Linked DNA regions of Rhinolophus ferrumequinum. The protein of the gene in region 1 binds, or shares a complex with, the protein of each later gene. Links are inferred from orthologs where the notes say so. Each region holds a gene or a part of one and is shown in the gene's direction. Other genes may lie near its edges.

Region 1 (7,882 bases):
ACTAATATAAAATAATATTGAATGTCAATTATAATTTAAAAATATATATATATATATATGGTCACTGGGTGTAAAGTACAGCACAGGGAATATAGTCAATGGTATTGTAATAGCTACGTACAGTGTCAGATGGGTAAGTAGACTTGATGGGGTGTGTAAATGTCTAATCAGTATATTGTTCTGTACACTTGAAACTAATAAAAACATAAATAAAATTTTAAAAATATGTTCAAGAAAATGAGGAGACATCCCAGAGAAGAAAAGCTAAACAGTGTTACAAGAAATGTTACAGGGACTTCTTTAAGTAGAAGAAGGGGGAAAAAGATAAATAATATGAATAATAAAATGTCAATAACTACATATCTATCAACAATTACTTTACATGTAAATGGATTAAATGCTCCAATCAAAAGATATAGTATGGCTGAATGGATAAGAAAATAAGACCCTTACATATGTACTCTACAAGAGACTCACTTCAGATTGAAAGACAAACATAGACTGAAAGTAAAGAATGGAAAAAGATGTTTCATGAAAGCAGAAATGAAAAACAAAAAACAAAAAAAGCTGGGGTAACAATACTTATACCAGACAAAATACACTTTAAAATAAAGGCTATAACAAGATACAAAGAAAGACCCAGTAATTTCACTTCTGGATACTTATCTAAAAAAACTCAGAACAGTAATTTGAAAAGACATATGCATATGCATCCATATGTTCATCGCAGCATTATTTACAATAGCCAAGATATGGAAGCAAAGTGTCCATCAATAGATGAATGGATAAAGAAGTGGTACATATATATATAATGGAATATTACTCAGCCATAAAAAGAATGAAATCTTGCTATCTGCAACAACATAGATGGACCTAGAGGGTATTATGCGAAGTGAAATAAGTCAGGCAGAGAAAGACAAATGCAATATGATTTCTCTTATACGTGGAATCTAAAGAAGAAAAGAAATGAACAAAGAAATCAGAAACAAACTCACAGATACAGAGAACATTTTGAGGGTTGCCAGATGGGAGGGAGGTTGGGGGGATGGGTGAAAAAGGGGAAGGTATTAAGAAGTACAAATTGGTAGTTACAAAATAGGCATGGGGATGTAAAGTATAGCATAGGGAATATAGTCAATAATATTGTAATAAGTATAGTATCAGATGGGTACCAGATTTACTGGGGTGATCACTTCGTTAAGTTATATAAATGTCTAATCACTATGTTGTACACCTGAAACTAATATATTGTATGTCAACTGTAATTGAAAAATAAAAAAATTATTTTAAAAAAAGAGAATGAGGACACAGGTCATAAACTTGGAGAAAATATTTCCAAAAGACAAATATGATAAAGGACTATTATCCAAAATATACAAAGAATTCTTAACATTCAACAACAAGAAAACAACCTAATTAAAAAATGGGCAAAAGACCTGAACAGACACCTCACCAAAGAAGACATACAGATGGCAATAAACGTATGAAAAGGTGCCCCACATCATGTCATCAAGGGAATGCAGATTAACATAATAACGAGATACCACTACACACCTATTAGAATGGCTAAAATCCAGAACACTGACAACCATCACCAAGTGATGGTGAAAATGTGGAGCAATAGGATGCATCAGCAATTCACTGATGGCAGGACTGCAAAATGGTACGGCTACTTCAGGAGACAGTTTGGTGGTTTCTCACAAAACTAAACCTATTCTTACCAGATGATGCAGCAATCCCAAAGGAACTGAAAATTTATGTCCACACGAAGACCTGCACACAGATGCTTATAGTAGTTTTATTTAGAATTGCCAAAAGTTGGAAGCAACTAAGATGTCCTTCAATAGGTGAATGAATAAATAAACTGTGATCCATCCAGATAATGAAATGTCTTTTAGTGCTAAAGAGAAATGAGCTATCAAGCCATGGAAAGACATGGAGGAAACTTAAATAAATATTAGTAAGTGAAAAAAGCTGATCTGAAAAGGCTGCATACTGTATGATTCCAACTATATGACATTCTGGAAAAGGCAAAGCTATGGCGACAGTGGAAAAATCAGTGGTTTTCAGGGGTTGGGTGAAGGGTGGGATGAATAGGTGGAACCCAGAGGATTTTTAAAGCAGTGAAAGTATTTTGTATGATACTACAATGGTGGATACACATCACTACACATTTGTCCAAACCCATAGAATGTCCACCACCAAGGTAAACTATGGACTTTGGGTGATTATGTGTCAACGTAGGTTCATCATTTGTAAGAAACATAACAGTGCGTTTTTAGGTATTGCTAGTAGTAGAGGCCAGTTGGTAGGAATTTTGTAGGAATTGAGGAGGAAGAAACTTTCCTCTGCTCTCACAGTTCTTTCGGTTCGTCTAATAAATAGACATGAGACCTATAACAAGAGAAAATAACCAAAGTTAATTACTTACATACTATATATGGGAACCCCTCATACAGGAGAGTCAGAAACGCCCTACATACATGAGAGGTTGAAAAACAGCAGAAAAAATAAGCTGTATATGACATTCTGGGCTAAGGATGAGGTAAGGCACCTTGGGACTTTAGAAGGTAATTGCAGGGAGAGCACATGTTCAGTAATCAGTAGTTTGCCCTGCCATATAGGTTTTCTTTGATCTCTTATTATGACCAAGACCCCTAATTCAAATTCCTCTAAATAAAGGGGAGGGGCAGAAGTGTCCCTTGAGCCCCTTATGTCTCTTTTGCCTTTAGCTCAAAATAATCTGCATATCGTGGAAGCACATCTTCGTGGAAGCATACCTACAGAGGGTAGGTACGTATATGTGAACACATGTATTTTCTGCTCAATTTTGCTGTGAATCTAAAACTATTATAAAACATAAAGTCTATTTTTAAAAATTCCCTTTGCTTCATCTATTTAATCCCCCACCCAGATATCTCTGGTAACCTTTGATTCGTTTACTGTCTCTAAATTTAACTTTAAAAAATATTTAAATTAAAAAATTTTAAAAAGTTTTGGAGCTTTTATAAATTGATTGGACTTTTATAGACAGTGAGTACTTTCTTTAGAAATTAGTCTTTGATCTTACAGCAATTACAATGATTAGTTATCATACCTGCAACTCACAGATTTGAGGTCTGTCTTTTAAAGTACCAATAAAATCTTATCATTCATATTCAGTGGAAAAAAGGCAAGTAAAGAAAATTCCAGAAAGGCGAGGTCATTTCGCCACCTCCCTTTGCTGGTTTCTATGTAATCCATCAGGGGACAGCTGGGACTGTTTTGAAAACTTTCTAGTTTGCTAATCTCACCATGCCCCCACTTTCTTGTCATTCTTGGTTAAAATTAAAATACTACGAACCTCCTTTGGCAGGCTCATTTTCAATTATTATTTTTTCTTTACTTGCATTCCCTCACCCAATCTTCCACTGTTTCCTATTCTAAGTGACTCTACCACTAAGCCTTCTGGAATGTCTGATAAACAAAATCCTCTAAATTGTTAACCTCTCTGCAGAATATTCCTCCACTTACTGGGTTTGGCAGAATCCTTGATTTGCGGACTTCTTCACTGGTCTCCTTCACAGTGTTCTCCCCCCCCCCCCCCCCTCCCCGTCTCGCCGCCCGTTTGACTTATTCCTTCATTGAGAACTCTGGCTCAACATTCTTCCAGTTCATTTCGGATCCTGTCCTTCTCCTAGGTGATTTAAGTTGCTACTTGGAGAACTTTGTAATTCCTAGTATCTCATTGCATTCATTCATCCTGGTTCCTGTCTGTTCTACCTCCAAGCCTTTTCTACATGTGAAACCTTTAAACATTTTGACTCACTCTGAGCACTCTGCCCGTATAGCAGGGGAAACTAATCGAAACGTTGACCAAAATTGACTCAAGATTGAGGACTGTGGATAGCATTTTAACTTTTTCATTTTTCTTAATTTTTATACTTTAACAATGAGTTCTTTTTACTTTCATTAAAGCACCGCAAAGCTCATCTGCTTGAATTTGGCGGCTGTCCACTGAAGGTTTCCTTTAGGAGGATCAGGCGTAGCCCTTGCGGCCTCGCGGGGCATGACGGGACGAGGGGCGGGCCGGGGGGCGCGCAGGCCGTACGAGACGTGCACGTCCCGGCGTCGGGGTCTGGGGGGACTGCGATTCATGCTCTGCCGCGGCCGCCCTCTTCAGACGCCGGAGGGGCAGACGGAAGAGGTGCGTGCCCGGCGGAAGCCATGTTTGTGGCACGCAGCATCGCAGCGGACCATAAGGATCTCATCCATGATGTCTCCTTCGATTTCCATGGGCGGCGGATGGCGACCTGCTCCAGCGACCAGAGCGTCAAGGTGCGCGCGGAACCTTGGGGCGAGGCTGAGCCGGGAAAGAGGGGATTGGGAGCGTGAGCGAAGGGACCCGCGCGTGGAAAGGGGACTTTCCCGATATTGATGCGCGCTGCCGGGCACAAGACCTGGAGCCCCAGGGAGGCGGCAAACCTCGGCCAAGTGGCCTGCTTCGCCATCCTCGTCCCCTCACTGTGGGGTCTCAGCCGCCTCGGGGCCGTGCTGCCCTGCGCGTGCGTAGAACGGGCGGGTTGGGCGGGCCTGTTGGTCACGTGCGCGCTCCCGCCGCCGGGGGACGCTGGGAGCCCTCCGAGTTCCTGCGTACGCCGTATCGGGTCCTTTTCGGCGGGAGTCCGCGAGCTACCTCAGCCTAGTCCCCAGTAGGGGTTGCTTTGTCCGCGGAGTTCTGGCAATATCTGTAATGAGTTAACCACTCTTGTTCAGTGAGAAGGACTGTGCCTTGGGTCTTGTAGGACAGTCAGTTCGTAGTGTTAAGCTCTGTGTGCCTCGTCCTTCACCTGGAGAGGTTATTTATTCTCTGTCTTCCGATAGGAGGTTTACGTTGTTTCGCGATGAAAGAAAATTACAGATTCATTTACACCCAATGAAGTTCCTCACTCGAGGAATTGGAGGGTGTGTTTCTTAGTTTATTTACACGTCTGTATACTGCTCTGAAAATAACAATTTCTATTATACTAAGAAGATACTATTTGGGATTTAGGAATTTAAGAGATAAAGGGTAAACGATAATAGACTTGAAGATGAAAGCTGGAGTGTGGAGTATTTGAATTTTCAACAACTCCAAAATAACTGAAAAGTTGAAAGACTATATTTACTTCTCGTTTTTAACCATCAAGTTTGATACCATTGATTCCTCAAAGATAGTTATAACTAATTTTCCTCTCTAAAAAAGAGTAGTGCCTCAAATCCATCGAATAATGCAGTGTTTTTAACCTGTAAAAGGTTTGGAATCACTACTTTTTAAAGTTTTTTTTTTTTATTGTGGTAAACTAACAATTTGAAAGTGTACATTACAGTTCAGTTCTGTTAAGCACAACATTCACATTGTTGTGCCACCATAACCACTGTACATCTCAGGAACTTTTTCTTCATCTAAACAGAAACTCTGTACCTAGTAACTCCCTCTTCCCTTGTACCCCAAACCCCTGGTTACCTCCAACTCTCTTTATAAATTTGACTATTCAGGGTACCTCATAAATGGAATCATACAGTATTTGTCCTTTTGTGTCTTGTTTATTTCACTTACTGTGATATTTTCAGTGCTCATTTATGTTTGTACAGTGTATCAGAATTTCATTTTTAGGGTTGAATAATTTTGTTGCACCACATTTTGTTTATCCTTCTACCTTTTGACTGTTGTGGATATTGTATTGTCTGTTAACTGAATAGTCCATACTTTTTTTGTTGTCCACTTACTACTGAATTTTTTAGATGATCTTTCAGTTTGTACGTTTTGTCTGTTAGAGTACTGTTGCAATGAAGATCTTCATTAATTTAGCTTTTTATATATTTTGGATGATTTTCTTAGGCTCATTCCAGTAGAGAAATTAGTGAATATTTTAAAAGCTTTTGAGAATAATTGATAAATTGCCTTTTTGAAGGTTGTTCTATACACTGCCAGTGTGAGTATTGATTTGATAACATCATTTTCCATGTTGGGCATTATTACAATTTTTCTTTAAAAATTTTTTATGTGGCAAAATACATGTAACAAAATTTACCATCTTTACCATTTTTAAGTCTACAGTTAAGTGGTATTAGGTACATTCTGCAACCATCACCACCATCTACAAAACTTTTTCATTTTGCGAAATGAAACTGTATCCATTCAACAATAACTCCCCATTCCCCCTACCCTCCATTCTGCTTTCTATTTCTATGAATTTGACTATTCTAGATACCTCATGTAAGTGGAATCATACATTTGTCTTTTTTTTAAACTGGTTTATTTAACTTAGCATGTCTTTGAAGTTTGTACATGTAGCATATGTCAGAATTTCCTTTTTAAGCTAAATAGTTCCTTACATGTATTGTATATACCACTTTTTACTCATCATCTTTCCGTGGACTTGGGTTGCTTCTACGTTTTAGCTATTGTGAACAATGCTGTTATGAATGTGGATGTACAAATAACTCTTTGAGACCTTTTGTTTTTTTAAAATTTATTGGGGTAGCAGTTAATAACATATGTTTCGGGTGTACAATTCTATAATACATGATCTGTATATTGCATTGTTGTGCTCACCACCCAAAGTCTAGTTTCCTTCGGTTACCATGTAATTGGCCCTCTTTATCCTCCCCACCATCTCCTTCCCGCTGGTAATCACTGTACTGTTGTTTGTGTCTATGAGTTTCTTTGTTGCTTTCTGTTTTATATCCCACATATGAGTGAAATCCTATGGTTCTTGTCTTTTTCTGACTTAATTCACTTAGCATGATACTGAAGATCCATCCATGTTAGCAGAAATGGTAGTATTTTATTTTTTATGGCTGAGTAGTATTCCATCGTATATGTGTACCACATCATCTTTATCCAGTCATTGATCGAAGAACACTTAGATTGTTTCCATGTCTTGGTTGTTGTGAATAATGCTGCAGTGAACGTAGGGCTACATATATCTTTACAGATATGTACATCTTTACAAATACATGTTTTCAAATTTTTCGGGTGGATGCCCAGAAGAGGTATTGCTGGGTCATGTAAGGTAGTTCTATTCTTAATTTTTTACTGTTTTCTATCGAGGTTGCAGCAATTTACATTCCTGCCAGCTGTGTGCTAGGGTTATCTTTTCTCCACGTCCTCTCCAATACTTATTTCTTGTTTTATTGATAGTAGCCATTCTAACAGATGTGAGGTGGTATCTCATTGTGGTTTTGATTTGCATTTCCCTTTTAGCTAATGAATTTGAGCATCTTTTCATATGTCTGCTGGCCGTTTGTATGTCTTTTTGGCAAAAGTGTCCGTTCAGGTCCTCTGCCCATTTTTTTATTGTAGTATTTGTTCTTTTTTGTTTTTGAGTTGTATGAGTTATTTATATATTTTGGATATTAGCTCCTTATCAGAGGTATCGTTTGCAAATATCTTCACCCCTTCAGTTGGTTGTCTTTTTGTTTTATTGATGGTTTCTTTTCCTGTGCAGAAACTTTTTAGTTTGATGTAGTCCCATTGATTTATTTTTTGTTTTTACTTCCCTTGCCTTTGGGTCAAGTTCACAAAAAACCCTCTGAGACCAAGGTCCATAAGTTTAGTATCTATGTTTTCTTCTATGCATTTTATTTCAGTTCTTATATTCAAGTCTTTTACTTCATTTTGAGTTAATTTTTATGTATAGTGTCAACTCTCTAGTTACATCCTTGTGCATGTGGCTTTCCAATTTTCCCGACGTTCATTGAAGACATTTTCCTTTTCCCATTGTATAGTTTGGATCCCTTGTTGAAAATTAATTGCCAGTATGTGTGCAGGTTTATTTCTGGGCTCATTTTTGTTCTGTTGATCTGTGTGTTTATTTTTCTGCCAACACCATACTGTTTTGATTATTGTAGCATTGTA
Region 2 (8,456 bases), on another chromosome or scaffold:
AGGGATAAGCCAATATAAGTGGGAATATAAGTGCCAATATAGAGGGAAATGGTGGGGCCTGCATTTCCCTGTTATTTACCAGTCCCTGGCACTCAAGAAAACCTGGTTTTTATGAAACCTGAGCACAAAATTTAGGAGACAGAGCTGAGTACAAGAAAGGCAGGAAGCTGGACCAGAGACTTTCCCTGCCCATACAAGCCAAAGCCTCTAAAGGCCAACTCTCTTATAATATGTCCACTAGAAAAAAAAATCTGCATGGCGGAAGGTGGTGGTTAAGACACCTTCCTGTAAAGGCATTTTTGAAGTATCCTCAGTATGTGCCTACTAGCTAATTTCTGCTGCGATGGGGACAGCACTCATCTACCTTGGCAGAAAATTGGAGGTTTATTCCCTGGAGAGGATAAAATACAGCCTATGGACTGAAGAGTGTGCAGCTGAGGAGAGGAATACCTGAATGAAAACCATAGGAATCACATGACCGTTTATATTCTAAATTTTGACACGCCTTTCAGGCTCCCAACACATTGCTAGCTCAACTTCATACCATTCATGCAGGAGGAAAGAAGACTCTTTTCTGAGGAATCTGTTCCCAAAGGGATTTCCTAAATACATCACATTAAAGCAACCCCTCCGCCAACCAAATGGCCGGGTCAGATCAGGATGACAAGCCCTAACCCTGGACACAGAGTGTCCAATAAGCATTTCAGTGACTCTAGTGGCCCAGGATCATCATGAAGAAAGTCTCTAATAGGAAGAAAGGAAATCCTTCCCAAATAAAACTAAGAAAAACAAAAAAACTTAGAGGAAACAGATTATGTAAGAAGAAAAAATACTCAACAAAATATTATTAATGATCTCAAAGGAGAAAATACATCCTTGAAGCAAGAACAGTATATTTTAAAAAGAGAGATAACAAAAAAAAGAGCTTTTGGATATAAAAAGGATAACAGCAGAAAATCCAACAATTATCAAACCAAAAACTATTAAATATTGAATATCTTACTGAACATTGGTTGGAAGAAAAGCAAAACAGGGTGAATGAATAAATAAACTGATAAAGCCACACAATGGAAAATTATTCACTGCTAAAAGGAAATGAGCTATGAAACCATAAAAAATTATGGAGGAACTTAAATGCATATTACTAAGTGAAGAAGCCTTAAAACCTGAAAGGCTACGTACTGCATGATTCCAACTACATGACATTCTAAAGAAGGCAAAACTATGGAGGCAATAAAAAATGGTCACCAGGGATTGGGGAGAAGGAAGGATGAATAGGTAGAACACAAAGGATTTTTAAGGCAGTGAAACTATTTTGAGCAATACTATAATAGTGGTTACATATCATTATACATTTGTCAAGACCCATAGAATGTACACCAAGAGGAATAAAGACTTAAGTCTGTTGCTTACTATCATATGGTTCACACAGAGTAATAATTACAATATGTATATACATGTGTATATTTTTATTTATATATACATCAAAAAATATAAAAAGAATGGTATTGCAAATGTGACAAAATGTTAATAATTGGTGAATCTAAATGAAGGGCATATAGGAGTTCAGTGTAGTATTAGTGTAACTGTTCTGGAAGTTTAATATTTTTTTCAAAATAAAATGTCAGAAAAGTACTACTTCCATTTTTTTCCAACAAACCTAAGTAAAATTGAGTTCTAACAATGACTGTAATTAAAAATGAGGAACAAACAAATTGGACATATAACTACGATCACTATCACCCTGTCAGCTACACCGGTCCTTGCGCATGTTCCCAAACTCTTCTCTTGGGTCTCCTGCCACAGGACCTCTGCATATGCTGCTCCTCCATCCTCATCATGACCCCCCGACTCATCTGCCTAGTTCACCCCTCTCTTTCCATTAGGGCTCCGCTTGATCTGACCGGGTCAACTCCCTGGTCTCATAGTATCGTCTACATCTTCTTCTCACAGCTATAATTTTGCATTTCTTTGGATTCTTTTCTTCTTAACGTCTGCCTCACCTACTAGGCAATAAGCTTCATGAAGGCAGGAGCCATGTCTGGTTTGCTTACCATTTTTTTAATAACTCCAACACTTATCACACTGCCTGGTGGCACATAGTAGAAGCTCAAAGAAAAAAGACAAAAGAAAAAAAAGAAAGGAGAGAGGAAAAGGAGGGAGGGAAGAAGGGAGGAAGAAAGAAATCTGTGGAAGGGAGGAAGAGAGGAAAGAAATTAATATTTCTATGAAGAGCCATAATTGGCCTCCTTGCTGTTCCTTGAACATGCCCTTGTATCTGCTGTTCCCTTTGCCTGGTCGTCCCTTTCCACCTAAATCCCCATGACTAGCTCCTTCTTCCCATCTTTCAAATCCGTGCTCAAATGGCAACTTCTAGATGAGGTCTTTGACCACCCTATTTCAAATTGCAAGAGCTCCTCCACCCCAAACTCCTTCTACTCTTTAGTTGGATCTCTGTTTTGCTTTTCTGTGTCGCACTTATTACGACATAAAATACTAAATATCTTACTTAGTAGAGTATTATCTATTTCTCCTGACTAGAGGATTAATTCCATAGGAGCAGGGATTTCCTTCAGTGCTATATTCCTAATACTTAGAAAATTGTCCAGCCAATAGTAAAAACTCAGTAACTATTTGTTGAAAGAATGACTGACTGACTAACTGACTGACTAAATAAGATAGAATTTTGTCAAAATTTTTCTATGTTCAAAATTTATCTTCATGTACATTGTTTTAAATATGCAAAACTGCCAACTATCCATGCGTAGGAAAAATTATCTCTTGTTTTAAGGTCACATAATTCCTAATTTTTAGGTGTTAAAATATTCTTCCTTTTTCAAAATGATGGTTCTAGTAATTATTTTTTCTCAATGGCCTTATTTGCAAACATGAGAAATGTTCGAACCAGTCAACGTCTAATTTTTTTTGGAAATTTTACTAATATGTGAAATCAAAAAGCCTGTACTGACATACAGGATTGAAATAATTCATCAGAATGTCATTTCACTATCTATTTCACAACAGACCCATGAATACCAATTCCACCCATCCAAAATCTTCTTCCCTAGTCAAGACGGTTCTCCTTACCATCTTCAAACCATCATGATTTTGATGCCCCTGGCTGCTTCTTCTGAGCTTTCCCCTTCCTTCATTCCTTCTTTAAACCCTTCCCATCCAAAGACTACCCTTCCTTTATACTATCCACAAGTCTTTCCTTACCACTCAGCCTACATTTATCCTTCTTTCATGGGTACACTTCTACCCCTTTAGGTAGAGCTCATTCCAAACACTAGTTTGGGCCACACCAACTACGTAAAAATCACTTCAGGGAGATTAAACAAAGACGATTTCCATGGTCAATGCAGATTAAGAGAATCAGAATTTCCAAGATTGGGATACAGGGGCCAATATATTTCAAAAGCCCTCCCAAATTATTCTGATTCATAGCCTGGCTTAGGAATAATTAATCTATAACATAGAGTCTTAAATTAGTCGTAAAATACTTCGCTTATATTAAGTAAACATTACTTATGTGTGCTTTCCAGAAACTTTCGTCTCTAGAGACGAAAGGAAGTCATAAAATAAAAATAATTTTTAACCCTAATCATATTAGTTGCATGTTTAACTTAGGACTTCAAACTAAACATCAAATGTGCATACCCCTATGTTAAATTATACATAGGAAGACCTTAATTTTGAAACAAATCATTTCAAATCCAAGAGTAACTTTTGATACATATATGCAGAAGCATTTGTGAATGTCCATTGATATTACCATAGGAGGGCATCTGTTGCAAAAAAAAAAAAAATGAATGTAATGAAGTTTATTCAAATGGGCAGCAACCAAAATTCACTCAAAAAAAAAAGTTAACCTAAATACAGTCTACTAACCTGTTTGTTGTTCTCTGCCATGGAAAGCTGCAATGTCAAGAGCATGGAGTCTGCACCACATACAGTAGTTCTCTCCGAATCACAAAGTGTGTGCCAATTCCTTCTGAAGTCTTTAATCATATCCAAGACAGACTTCTGATTAAGCACAGACATCCTCTTAAATTAGGACAGAATGCAATGTTAAAAAGCTTTATTCTAATTGGAAATTAATATTTAACATGTGTAGCAAGCAGAGTTAGAGAAAAATAAGTAATAAATGAGAGGTCATTTCATATTTACTAAGATTGCTTTTAATTAAATTTAGGAGAACAGAATAAAACAATTTCTGCCCAATCATATTTTCCTCTCCTTTCATTTCTTAAGCCAAATCTTTTGAAACAACAAAATACATCCTTCAATCTGAAAATTCTTACAAAACAGATACACCAATTCTACAAACTTATAATTATAGACACAAACATAGCTAATTAAAAATATTTGTTTTGAAATAGATGGTAATATCTGTGGTAGATTGGGGGGGTGGAAAGCCAATTTCCTCCCATCCTTATATTATCCCCAAAGAGATGGTGTATTTTTCCACCCCTTTGAATCTGGGTCGGTCTCGTGACTTGATTTGGCCAATAGCATGTGGCAAGAATGACACTGTGGGAGTTCCAAGCCTAGACCTCAAAAGGCCCATGTAGAAAGGAGTTAATGCAGCAGGCCTGAGTGCTATCCTTTCAAAGGCCTGCTTACAAGGTTGGCCCTTGGCTAGCGTCGGGGAACTTAGATTTCAGGAGGGTTTCCGGGAACAGTGGCTCACTGTGCCTACACTGTTTGTACAAACAATACAGTTTATGCTGAACACATGCTTCCCTCTCAGTCTGGAATTTTGGAACAGAGACAGAGGGTGCCTACGTGTTCAGCCCCAGCAAAAACCCTGGGCACTGAATCTCTAAAGAGCTTCCCTGACAGACAACAAATGTGTTGTCACAACTTGTTGCTAGAGGAATTAAGCAAGTCCTGCCTGACACCACTAAGAGGACTTTCGGAAGCTTCTGCCTGGTCTCCACTGGACTTCGCCCCATGCACTTTCTCCCTTTGCTTATATTGCCTCATATCTTTTTGCTGTTATAAATTATAGCCATGAGTATGACTATATGCTGAATTCTCTGAGTCCTCTTAGCAAACCAAGGCGGACTTAGCAAGACCAGGTGGTCTTGGGGGCCACCTGACCTAAAACCTTGAAGCTTTAGCTCTTCCTCTCCTGCTATTCTCAGATGTGGAGAAGTCCAAGCTAGTCTACTGGAGAGGTCATATGAAGGAGATCCAAGGCGCTCCAACTGACAACCAATATCACAGAAACGTCAGTGAGGTTATCTTAAGACTACGTAGCTCCAATCAACCTGCCTAATGAACTGCAGCCACATGAGCGATCCCAGAAAAGGCCAGCAGAACGACCTAGGTGAGTCCAGCGCAAATTGCTGATCCACAGAATCAGAAGCAAATATGTTGTTTTAATGCCACTAAGTTTTGGGGTGGTTATACAGCAATAAATAACCAACAGAATAGGTCATTTAGGAGCTTTCTTGGCGCCAAATCCTTTTTAAGAACTTAAGACTTATTACCTCATTCAATCTTCGCACGAGTCCTGTGAGGAAGGTCTATTATTCTCCTCATTTTATATCTAAAGAAAGTGATGCCCCATGTCACTCAGCTAGCAAATGGTCAAACAGACCTAAACCCAAGATACCTGCCTAACTCCATAAGCTGTGCTCTTTAATCACTATGCTACCTAACTTCTCCTGATCGATAAAAGCCTTTTTAAATAACTGGATATAGTTCCAAGGTTTTACGTACCTAAGCCTATGTAAGGCATTCAATTCCTTTCTCTGAGTTTACAGAGATGCCTAAAAGTTTGGGGTTTTCCTCCTACTTTAAGTACCCAAGTCTCCAATATATGCACAGGCCATTATCTTATTTTGGGCATTTTACCATACACATCCCATTTACTTACTCTTTCTGTGATTTTTTCTTCCTTTTTTATGTGGCATAAACAAAATCCCATATATTTACTGTGTATCTTGGGTTTATGTGATAAAAAGGAGTGGGGGCATTTAAAAAAAAAAAGGGCATATGCCATCTACAAAATAGTAATTCATAGACGTAATTACCGATGTCACATAAAAATACAGTTATAAGAATGTATATTAAAGTATCTATATAAATACAAATCCTAGTAAATAGCTAAGAATTATATTTCTCTTCAAAATATCCCCCTATGTCTCCTAAGGAAAAAAAAAAACTTCGGTGATGTGATCAATTTGTCTAAAATAAACCTTTGGTAGTAAACTATTCACTGGTATTATTTAAAGGTACTATGAGTTCAGATTGCTAAGAATGAAGACTAATCTGGAATTAGACTGTTCTAAATCCTGGCTCCACTTTCTAGTTGTAAGATCTTTACCAAGTTATGTCACTTCTCCCTGCCTCAGCTTCCTTGCACTGAAAATAAAAATATTAACAGTTCCTATCTCACAGGGTTTTGTGAAAAGCAAATGACACAAATATAAGATAAGCTTTTAGAACAGTGCCTGGCACATATAAAAGCCAAAAATCTCATCCAGGAGTCAGCACACTTTTTGGAAAGTGCCAAATAGCAAATATTTGAGGAGTCCAGGCCATAGTCTTCTGGCACAACTATCAACTTGACCTTGCCGTGTGAAAATAGCCACGGACAATACATAAACAAATGAGCTTCAACAAAACTTAATAACAACTGAAATTTGAATTTCATATAATTTCTACACTTTTTCACACAGCACAAAATATTCTTCTTCTTTAGATCTTTTTCCCCCCAACCATTTAAACATGTAAAACCTATTCTTAGCAAGGGAAATGGCGACGCAAAAACAGGCAGTGCGGAGGATTTGCCAACCCTGCTCTAGTCTCAGCTCTTCCAGTAGCTAGCTAGCTGTGTGAGTCTAGGCAATAAATAAGCTTCACACCTGACTGCCTAGGTAGAGGTATCATCAAAGAGAAAACAGGAATAATACCTTCCGGCCAGTTTCAAGGAGTCAATGAGAATGAATATGCACTCTCAGTGTCAGGCTGCACTACACAAAAGCAATAGGAGGCGGCAGCCGTCATTACTCTTGTTCTAAAAAATTGGATTAGAAGCTGTACTAGGCCAAAAATTGAAAAGCAGGAAACTACCACTGGGGAAGCAGTGAGATGATTAAAAGAAGTACACTTTTGAGTCAGACAGACGAGGGTCCACATCCAGGGTCTCCCATTTATTAGCTGTATGCCTTTCGGTATTTAAAATCTCTGAGGAGTATTTATTTTTTCATGTGCAAAAAGGGGAGGATATCTCCTACCTCATAAAATCATGAGACGTCAGTGAGACAAGTAAATAATCCACCTAGTGCCTGCACTCAGTAAGTACTCAATAAAAAAATAGCAGTCGTTGCTGCTACCGTTATCATTGTCAGAATGTGTGTCCTAAATGGCCCCTGAGAGAATATAAAAGGGAAAGGACGAATGGAGCGGACTTGGAGTCTGCCTATGTTTTGGGAGTCGGACCCTGGCTTCCTGCCTAATGAATCTAAGTAGGGCACTAAGGGCCTCAGTCTTCAGCTCCACTCGTTACTAGATACGGCAAACTGTTCAACACACCCAGACCCAGTCAGGCTAAAGAGCGCAGCCACAGCACAAATAATACCCTAAACGGTCACATGACGCTTGGCTGTCACCAGAAAACTAGCGGCCTGAATCACCACTTAACGTGTGACAGGAGAGTAAGGAAAGGCGAGACTCACCTGGCTCGGGGGAGAAGCTGGGGGTGCAAATGCAACAGAAGTAAGGCGCCGCCCAGCTGCAGTCTCTCTACGATTCGAATACTCCCGGGTTACATTTTAAATCTCGCGGGAGCGTCTGGGAGCCAATCGCCGCTCCCGCCCTCTGACCCGGAAGCCGAATCGACGTGAGCGGCGGGAACCCCGGGTGGAGACCAGCTACCATCTGGCCGCTTCCCGGTTTCCTCCGGTGCGTATCAAGGCGCCCAAGGGGTCGGGCCGCTTCGCTACCAAATGCCTCAAGCTCCCCGGGCGGTTGTCCACCCCTCTTCCCTCCGACCTCAGGCTCGGGGAGGTGGTAGCGGGGTCTCACGGGGCCTGCCGACCATTGGAGAGGCGTCGGGGCTCTTTGCAGTAACTTCTTTTATTCCCTCCCTCCTCTACCCTTCCCGTTTTAGAGGGGCAAGTGCAGCCCGCCCCGTACTGCGAGACCCTGACAATGTAGTGAGATTGGGCACTACTTTAATGAGCAGTAGGGGACCGAATATCCTAACATCGAATCTTTTGCACTTCCCACACCACTGTGCCTCTGAGGGCATCTCACCTGCTGGTCACCCTTAACAAATGATCAGTCCAGGATGCCCACTTGCAAGAGTACTAGTTTATAGGCACCCAGAGGTGGGGCTCATCTGAATCTCAGTAAATACTCATCAGGCACTTGATAATGTTTGTTGCCGAACCCAACTTTTCAGGACAACTGCATCCAATTAAAAACAACAACACAACTCT
Region 3 (8,074 bases), on another chromosome or scaffold:
CAGATGGAGAAATGGCCCCAACTAGATTTGGGACTCTTGTTTTATTTATTTTTCTATCTCCATATCTTCATGCTGTCACCCACCCTGAGTGAACTGCTTCCTGTCTCTCCTTCAGCTGTGAAACAGGGTTAATAAAGCACTGACCCACCTACCAGAACAGTCAGGAGAAAGAGCTGATAAAATCCGTGTTGCCCAAACTTGCAAACACGAGTGCATAACTGTTGCAAAGCCCAATTTTAAACATCTCCAGAAGAATATAAGTCAGAAAATGGGAGCAATGGATTGTTAGGGCTGCTCCTGGGAAGCTTTTGGGGAACCTATGGCATCCTCTCTGTCTCCAAGAGCCTGAGAGTGGGGAAGGCTCCCTACAGCTTTGGAGGGAGCCCCCAGCACCTCCTCTGGGGGTAGACAAGTGACTCCCAGTAAGAGACTTCCTCCCAGACCACTCAGAACTCTTTACATTTTTATTGTTTTGCTTGAAAAGAGGAAACTTAAAGAGAGAAATCAGAGTAATGGGCAACCAAATGCACCTAGCAAGGAGCTTGAGCACGTGGGCATGTCCACAAATATTTGTTGACTGATGAAAAGAGGGAAATTACTAGTGGGGCTCCAGACAGGATTCCAAGATTTTCAGATGTAAACAGATGGAAGGGTCAGCTAAACTTCACATTCTCTAGAAAAGGAAACAGGACTGGAATGAAAAGGGATTCTGTTCAAACTTGCGAGTCTACCGTAGTAGTTGCTGATAAGAGCCAGCCAAAGCCCTGGATTTCTAGGTTGGCCAGAGATCCTGCTTCTGAAAATACATTGCTTGGTGATAAGGGCCTTGAGGCCTGGTCAGCCAGTTGAGTTCTACTTGACAAGGGACTCCTAACAGTCCCCAGTTTCTGATTCAGACAGGATATTCATAGGTGGATCTCAGAGGTACATAGCAATGAAGCAGCAGCCAGAGATCTCGAGATTTAGCTTGAATCCCTACTTTTTCAATGTGGGTGGGAGATGGAAAGAAAGGGCCCAAGAAGGCAGTCTGAAAGGTGTTCATCCTCCCTCTCTCAAAAATTCTACTGGGCTCTTTTCACATTTAAGAAAGAAAACATTGAGAGAACACAGAGCACCAAGGACTTGAAACCCAAAGTACTTTCTGTGCCTACGAATCATGACAAGCAGATTTTCAGAACTAGACAGACATGAACTAAAGAGGTAGGAGTGGGGGAGGGTTGCAGAAATACTCAGGCAAGAGCAATTCTACAGGTTTTAGTGGGAAACAGATTACCAAACTATTTACAGACAGACAGCTTTGGAATCTCTCTCTCTCTCTCTCTCTCTCTCTCTCTCTCTCTCTCTCTCTCTCTCTCTCTCTCTCTCTCTCTCTCTCTCTCTCTCTCTCTCTCTCTGTCTCTCTCTTCTCCCCCACCCCTAGCCCTTTCTAACTTTTCTAGCTATACTTCTTGCTACAACTTCCCATATGCCCTGACTATTTGCTAAATTGCTAATCACTTGTTCAGTGGATATTTATTGCACACCCACTACATCCCAGGCAATAGGCAAATAAACAAATAAGATTATGGTATGTTAGATGAATTTATTAATTTTTTTTTTTTAAGGGGAACAGGACTTTATTGGGGAACAGTGTGTACTTCCAGGACTTTTTTTCCAAGTCAAGTTGTTGTCCTTTCAGTCTTAGTTGTGGAGGGCGCAGCTCAGCTCCAGGTCTAGTTGCCGTTACTAGTTGCAGGGGGCGCAGCCCACCATCCCTTGCAGGACTCGAGGAATTGAACTGGCAACCTTGTGGTTGAGAGCCCACTGGCCCATGTGGGAATCTAACCAGCAGCTTTTGGAGTTAGGAACATGGAGCTCTAACCGCCTGAGGCACCGGGCCGGCAGAATTGATTAATTTTTATTAGAGACAAAAAAGGGGTTCTAGGGAAAGTAACCTCACAGGATGAACTGGGCAGGTCATGGTGGGTAGTCACGCCCCAGGCATATACTTTTTTTTAGTAAAAGGTTTGTCTTTGCCTTAAGCAAGCCCTGTCCATTGTTTCTGTGCATCTAGTTTAACACACTTGTGAAATAAGGATAACCACCCTCAAGAGAGCACATAATCTTGTAAACTATCCTGAAATCCGATCAGTGCCTTGCTTTCTCCCACCTTCATGTAATCTTCCTTACTTTCCCTCCTTATTTCCAAGAGCTTAAAAATAAACTGCCAAACCATCATTCTCCATAGCATTTGAGATCTTGCTTCCTGGCAATTGTCGCCACTTTGGCTCAAATAAAATCTTATAGAAGTTCTTTACAGGTCTGGACATTTCTTATGTAAACAACGTATTCCTATGCGATGGCATGAGGACACTTAGAAAGTATTCTGTTTCTTTTTCCCTGCCCTTGAATCTTTCCCCCTCTGGGCTGGCTGAGCTGAGGTGAGGCCCTTCTCTCTAGAGCAGTCTTTTGTGGTAGAGAATTAGGAGAAAACTGGGAGACAAGGAAGAAAGGCTAATAATATAGAAGGGTGAAGGCCATGGCTGGAGTTTTTTAAGGGCTGCAGTGTGTGAGAATAACTGATAGGTTGATAGGAAAGAAAGAAAAGGGACTTGAAGGAGACTAGTGATTCTGTGTTCCCTTCTGGGGGTAAAGAATTGCAGGTAAAGATTTTGAATAGTTTTAAAAATTACATTTGGTTTCACAGAAGGCATCCCTTGACCTATATAGCAGCCTAAGGGTATGACTTTATATGCTTTTCGCATTCATTCATTGGACAAATATTCATGGAGTGCCTGTATATGCAGTCACCATGCAGGGCTGAAAACAAAACAGACCTGGTTCCTGTCCTCCTGAAGCTTGAAATGTTAAATAAAAAAATAAATATCGAATTACAAATCGTGAAGTGTACTTTGAAAAAAAGCACAGTGCCCTGAGTGTTAATTGAGGAACTGCTTTGTGTCTTTGCAGTGCATCCTTCTCTTCACACTTAAGGGTCTTTGTTCACACTTCAATGCTGAAGTACTATTTTTGACAGTGTACGCTATTGAAATCCTAATTATACCGAAAAGCTTAAAAGTCACCTGCTTCAAGATGCTATGTCAGGATTTAGGATGACATAAAGAGAGGACGTTTAGGATGTCCTCTCCTGGCACATTGCTTGCAAGTTTTTTGTAAAACCCAATTCATTCTGCCAAGTGTATACCTGTTGTACAGGGACCAACTGTCTCAGTTTATCTGGACTGAAGGGTTTGCTGGGATACGTTGTTCACCCTATTGATAAGTCTGTCTTCCCCATTACATCCAACACCCCAGGAGGGAAGGGAAGGCTTCTTATCTCTATTCAGGCAATGCCTTGCACATAGAAATAATAGTTGTATTAACAACAACAACAATAAAAATAGTTTACACTTGAGTATTGACTACATTCCAGGCTCTGTGCTTAACTCCTTGTAACAACCGAGTGAATCAAGCAGGTCATTTTCCCCTTCTATAAAGAAATAGAAGCTAAGCCAGTTAAGCCAGGATTTGAGAGGGTGGGACAAAAGAAGAGTAGCTAATCACCATTTATTGTGCAATCAGCAGTTCTCAAACGTTTTGATCTCAGGATCCCTTTACACTCTTGAAACTTTTTAAAGATTCCCCCTCCCCAACTTTTATGTGGGCTATATATACTGATAGTAATTAATAGATTAAAAAATGAAAATTTAAAACGTATTTATTCATGATTTTACTTGTACATTAATGCACATTAGCATTGATAATACATTTTGTAAATGAAAAATAATTTATTTTAAAAAACAGTGGGATAAGTGGCAAATCTCTTTAATGTCTGGCTTAATAGAAAACTGCTTCAAATATATGGTGATGGAAGGAGAACTGACTCTGGGTGGTGAACACACAATGGAATTTATAGATGATGTATTACAGAATTGTACACCTGAAATCTATGTAACTTTACTAACAATTGTCACCCCAATTAACTTTAATTAAAAGAACCCCAAAAAACCAAAAAAAAACCCTGCTGAATTCTCACATCTGCTTCTACCATTCAATCTGCTACATACAATATATACCACGTAGATTCTTGAAAACTTCACTGTACACTGATGAGAGAAAGAAAGTGAAAAAGGCAAATAACGTCTTAGTATGATTATCAAAATTGTTTTGCCTTCAGAAACCCCATGAAAAGGTTGTGGAGACTCGCTGGGGTCCCTGGACACTTTGGCAGGTGCTGCTGTACTGTACGAAACAATAAATTTCCCATTCAGACTTTTCAATGCCTTTATGGCAGGTTTGCACAAATGTTGGATTTTGGTTTGTAGACATCCTCGGTCTTGCCGGTGACGCCAGCGAGGAGACAGGGAAGACAACACGCACTGCATCTCGACCAAACCGCAATCTGCGAGCTTTTCCTGTGTTATCCACCCGCTACTCGACCTTGGACTACAACTCCCGGCCCAGCTTGCAGCAAGGGGGTGTGTGTCCGCAGCCGGGACGAAGCTTGTGTGACTCAAGCCGAGTGACGGAAGTGGAGGGGGCGAGCCTGTTTTGGGTAGGGGCGGTTCCTCAATTGGAGGAGTCTGGAAGAGGGGGTGGAGCCAGTGTTTGGGTCAGCCAATGATTTGCGCTCAGGCGGAAGAAGGGAACGGGGCGTGGCAGGGCTCAGTCGCAGGCTGCGTGGGGCTTACAGAGCCCTGGTACGCGGGTTTCGGTGGCGGGAACGCGCGGTTCTGGGACCTGGGCTCCCGACTGCAGGAGATGGCTACGCGATGGAGCAGCGAGAACGTGGTGGTGGAGTTTCGCGACTCTCAGGTGAGCTGGCCGCCAAATGGAGCCTTCTGGGCATGCGCCCTTCCCGGTTCCCTTCCCCCACGCTGCCGGGTCCGCTTCAGGGGCGGCGGGGCGACCCCCAAGCCTGGGCTGGGCTCGTGGACAAGAGAGTGACCCGGAACTGTTAGACCTGAGCGGGCGAGGGGGAGCTTTGATGACTATTGGGGGCGGTTGGGGCGGGCGCCGACAGGGTTTCGGGGTTCCCCGCGGGGGGTACGGGGATGGTGTCTGCTTTGGGACTCCGAAGTGCAGAGATTGCGTGCGAGTGAGTGCTGGGAAGCTTCCAAACTCGGATGGTGGGCAAGGGGGTGTTTGCTTCCCCAGGCTGAGGGTCGCGCTTAGTGACTTTGGGCAAATCGCAGAACTTCTCTGAGCCTCACAGCTCTGTGGACTTAACGCTTCTTCACAGGACTTTGGGGGTGGATTCAATTAAAAAAAACAAAACTGCAGGTATAGTGCCTGTTTCGGCGCCTAAGCTTTTAAGTTGTCGCTGCTGCTAGAATAGTGGAAAATACCGTATTGCCGGGTTCGAATCCCGGCTCAGCCCCAAGCCTGTCCTCACTCTCTGCGCATTAGTTTGCTCACCTCAAAGGGTTGGCTTGAGAATTTTACTATGAGATCATTCACACATTTAGCATGTGTGGTACAGTGACAGGCACATGGTAAGCCTCAAGGAACGTTAGCACTTACTAGTGATTTTTACCATTTTTAAATTTCCTGTGTCCCATATGGCAGGCCTCGTGCTAAGTGATTTCTCTGTATTTTCTTTTTCTAATTCATGAAAGAACCACACAAGATAAATAGATATTATCCCTTTGTTTCCAAACGGAGAAGCTGATCTCTGTTTGGCTGATCCCAAGTGACCTGGCCAACGTCCCCTTATGTGGCTGCATTGGGATTTGAACTAAGGCATCTGGCCCCAGGGCTCTTGTTGGCCTCATTACACTGCCTTGCTTCATATTTTATGAGCTTGTCATACAGTCATTCCTCAACAAATACCATGTACCCCCACCACCTTAGGACAGTGTCTTGGTGATTCGCTTTTTATGCTACAAATACAGAGGGTGCCAAAAAAATGTGTACACATTTTAAGAAAGGAAAAAACTGTGTTAAATTTGTAATACTCAATATTATACTGATAACAAAAGATGAATACGGGTCTTGTGTATACATTTTTTTGGCACCCCAGTATTTATGGAATACCTTCTGTGTGCCAGGCTTTCAGTCACTCATTTATTCAACAAGGATTTATTGAGCTCTTGCCAGGTGCAGACTGTGCCAGGCGCTGTGTTGAAACTCAGATGATTTATACTGAAGGGAAATTGGGATTACAACAAGGGGTGATGTGGTTTCTTCTTTCTAAAATCCCATGGTCATAAAGATAATGAGTGGAGGAGCCACCAACCAGTTTGCTCTATGGTGCTCTCTGATACATAGTTCCCTGGAGAATTTGAGCGGCAGCATTTGGATTAAAGAATCCTGAAGCACTTTGTACTGTCAGCACTGTGTCTCTGGGAGGCCTGCGCTCCCAGGGGAGGCCTCGCCAGACTCCTAGGGATAAAGAACCACATTCCTGTTACCCTTCTTGTTAATTACTTTCACTGGGGACTAAGAACAAAATCTTGTATGGAACCTGCTAATTTGGAAGCTACTAATCTGTAAACCCTTTAATTCTCATAGAAATACAGGTAGCCTCTTACAGAGAAACCAGACCTCCCTATAGAAACGTCATTGAAGAGACCTGCAGAGAGGGTGCTGACACATAGGTTAGGAAGCTATGAAGTAGTAGGATAATAAACCGAAACAGCAGCTGTCAAAGTCAGAGGACAAAGTAAATTGGGTAATTTAACTGCCTTGTGGGAGTTTCTGTTTTTCTTTCTGATTTTTCTGCTCATTTGGAAAGGTACATTCGTGTCAATTATCATGGTTTCGTGGTTAATTCTGATGGTAATTGGTGGGGGATTAGGGACCCTTTTTGTTAACTATTTCATTAATGTAGAAATGAAGAGTTGAAACTCTTACTATTGTCTTTCTGAAGAGGAAGGCCAGAACAATAAACTTTTAAAAACACCCTGCCTCTTTAAAAAATAAAAGCTTTTGGGTTTTTCAGTGGAAAAATCCCAGCCTAAAAGGTGAAACTCTTTTTCTTTTACACCTTATACAAGCATCATTTATTTTATAAATCAATGCCTTGAGATATTGTCACTGATTAATAGTGAAGAACCTGTGCTGCTTGGATCTACTCTTACTGTGTTTCCCTGAAAATAAGACCTAGCCGGATAATCAGCTCTAATGCGTCTTTTAGACCCGGTCTTATATTAAGTTTTGTTCCAACAGAAACATTAGAGCTGATTGTCTGGTTAGGTCTTATTTTTGAGGAAACACGGTATGTGGTCCCTGGAATCAATGAGTATTGACACTGTAAGAAAACTTAGAGATAATCTTCTAGGGCAACTCCATCGAGTAGAATTTTCTGTGATGATGGAAATGTGGCTGTTAAACACATGAAATGGGGTCAGTACAACACATTGTATTTTTAATTTAATCAAATTTTAATTAATTGCCATTTAAATAGCTACCTGTGGCTAGTGGCAATGGTATTGGAAAGTGTAGTGGAGATTCAATAGTTTATACTCAAAGAGAGGTAAAATGGGGGAGAGGAATATAGTGAAAAATACAGTGAGTTTACAGGGTTACAGATGATTACTAGAATTAGTGGGGTGATCATATTGTAAGATATAAAAATGCCGAATCACTATATTGTGCTCCTAAAACTAATATACAATATATGATTGTATACCAACTCTACTTAAATGGAAAAAAACAAGAATTGGTCATGGTTGGAGTGTTGGGGTGGACTTGGGAGGGAGAGATGCGAGACAGCCTGTAGAAGTGATCAGAGAAGAGGTCTTAAGTGATCTTCAGTGGCACGCCAAGGGTGTTGGACCTTGTCCTGTAGGCTGTGGGGAGCCACTAAAGGAGCATGAACAAGCAAGCAGCATAACCAGGCTTAAGTCTAACAACAGCCCTGAGGGTGGAGAGTGAGGCTGGTGAGAGGCTGGGGTACCTGTCCAGTGAGGACTGATGAAGGCCTGAGCCCAGGCAGAGATAGGAAGAAATGGATTGATTAGGATCAGACCAGGAAGGGGGGTGCCCAAAGTTGGGAGGAGTTTCAGGAAAGACTCATGTCATAGAAATCAAAGGTTTTAAGGAGGAGTCAGATCAAGTGAAAAACTAATAGAAAGTATCGACTAATTTCAGC

The links.
Region 2: SEH1L (region 1) and NUP37 share a complex: the UniProt entries of both Homo sapiens proteins name them as parts of the nup107-160 subcomplex of the nuclear pore complex. The link is inferred for Rhinolophus ferrumequinum from reciprocal best matches to the Homo sapiens genes SEH1L and NUP37.
Region 3: the proteins of SEH1L (region 1) and WDR59 are in contact, whole or in part, in a cryo-EM structure (PDB 7UHY), measured with the Homo sapiens proteins. The link is inferred for Rhinolophus ferrumequinum from reciprocal best matches to the Homo sapiens genes SEH1L and WDR59. Residues at the interface, in NP_112493.2 of Homo sapiens: Asn308, Tyr309, Met310, Asn312, Lys314; in NP_085058.3 of Homo sapiens: Pro713, Asp714, Glu716, Thr717, Pro718, Arg721, Arg837, Glu840, Gln843, His844, Asn847.

What each region holds. Positions count from the first base shown.
Region 1 is NC_046302.1:5,254,545-5,262,426, reverse strand, and holds the start of SEH1L (nucleoporin SEH1), read left to right. Parts: upstream 1-4,076; 5' UTR 4,077-4,206; coding exon 4,207-4,317; intron 4,318-7,882. UniProt on the Homo sapiens protein: Component of the Nup107-160 subcomplex of the nuclear pore complex (NPC). The Nup107-160 subcomplex is required for the assembly of a functional NPC.
Region 2 is NC_046293.1:17,231,381-17,239,836, forward strand, and holds the start of NUP37 (nucleoporin Nup37), read left to right. Parts: upstream 1-5,018; 5' UTR 5,019-5,335; intron 5,336-7,691; exon of another isoform or gene 7,692-7,772; intron 7,773-7,836; exon of another isoform or gene 7,837-7,917; intron 7,918-8,456. Other genes in the region: PARPBP (PCNA-interacting partner), read right to left, coding at 3,892-4,044. UniProt on the Homo sapiens protein: Component of the Nup107-160 subcomplex of the nuclear pore complex (NPC). The Nup107-160 subcomplex is required for the assembly of a functional NPC.
Region 3 is NC_046298.1:22,518,831-22,526,904, reverse strand, and holds the start of WDR59 (GATOR complex protein WDR59), read left to right. Parts: upstream 1-4,636; 5' UTR 4,637-4,740; coding exon 4,741-4,794; intron 4,795-8,074. UniProt on the Homo sapiens protein: As a component of the GATOR2 complex, functions as an activator of the amino acid-sensing branch of the mTORC1 signaling pathway. The GATOR2 complex indirectly activates mTORC1 through the inhibition of the GATOR1 subcomplex.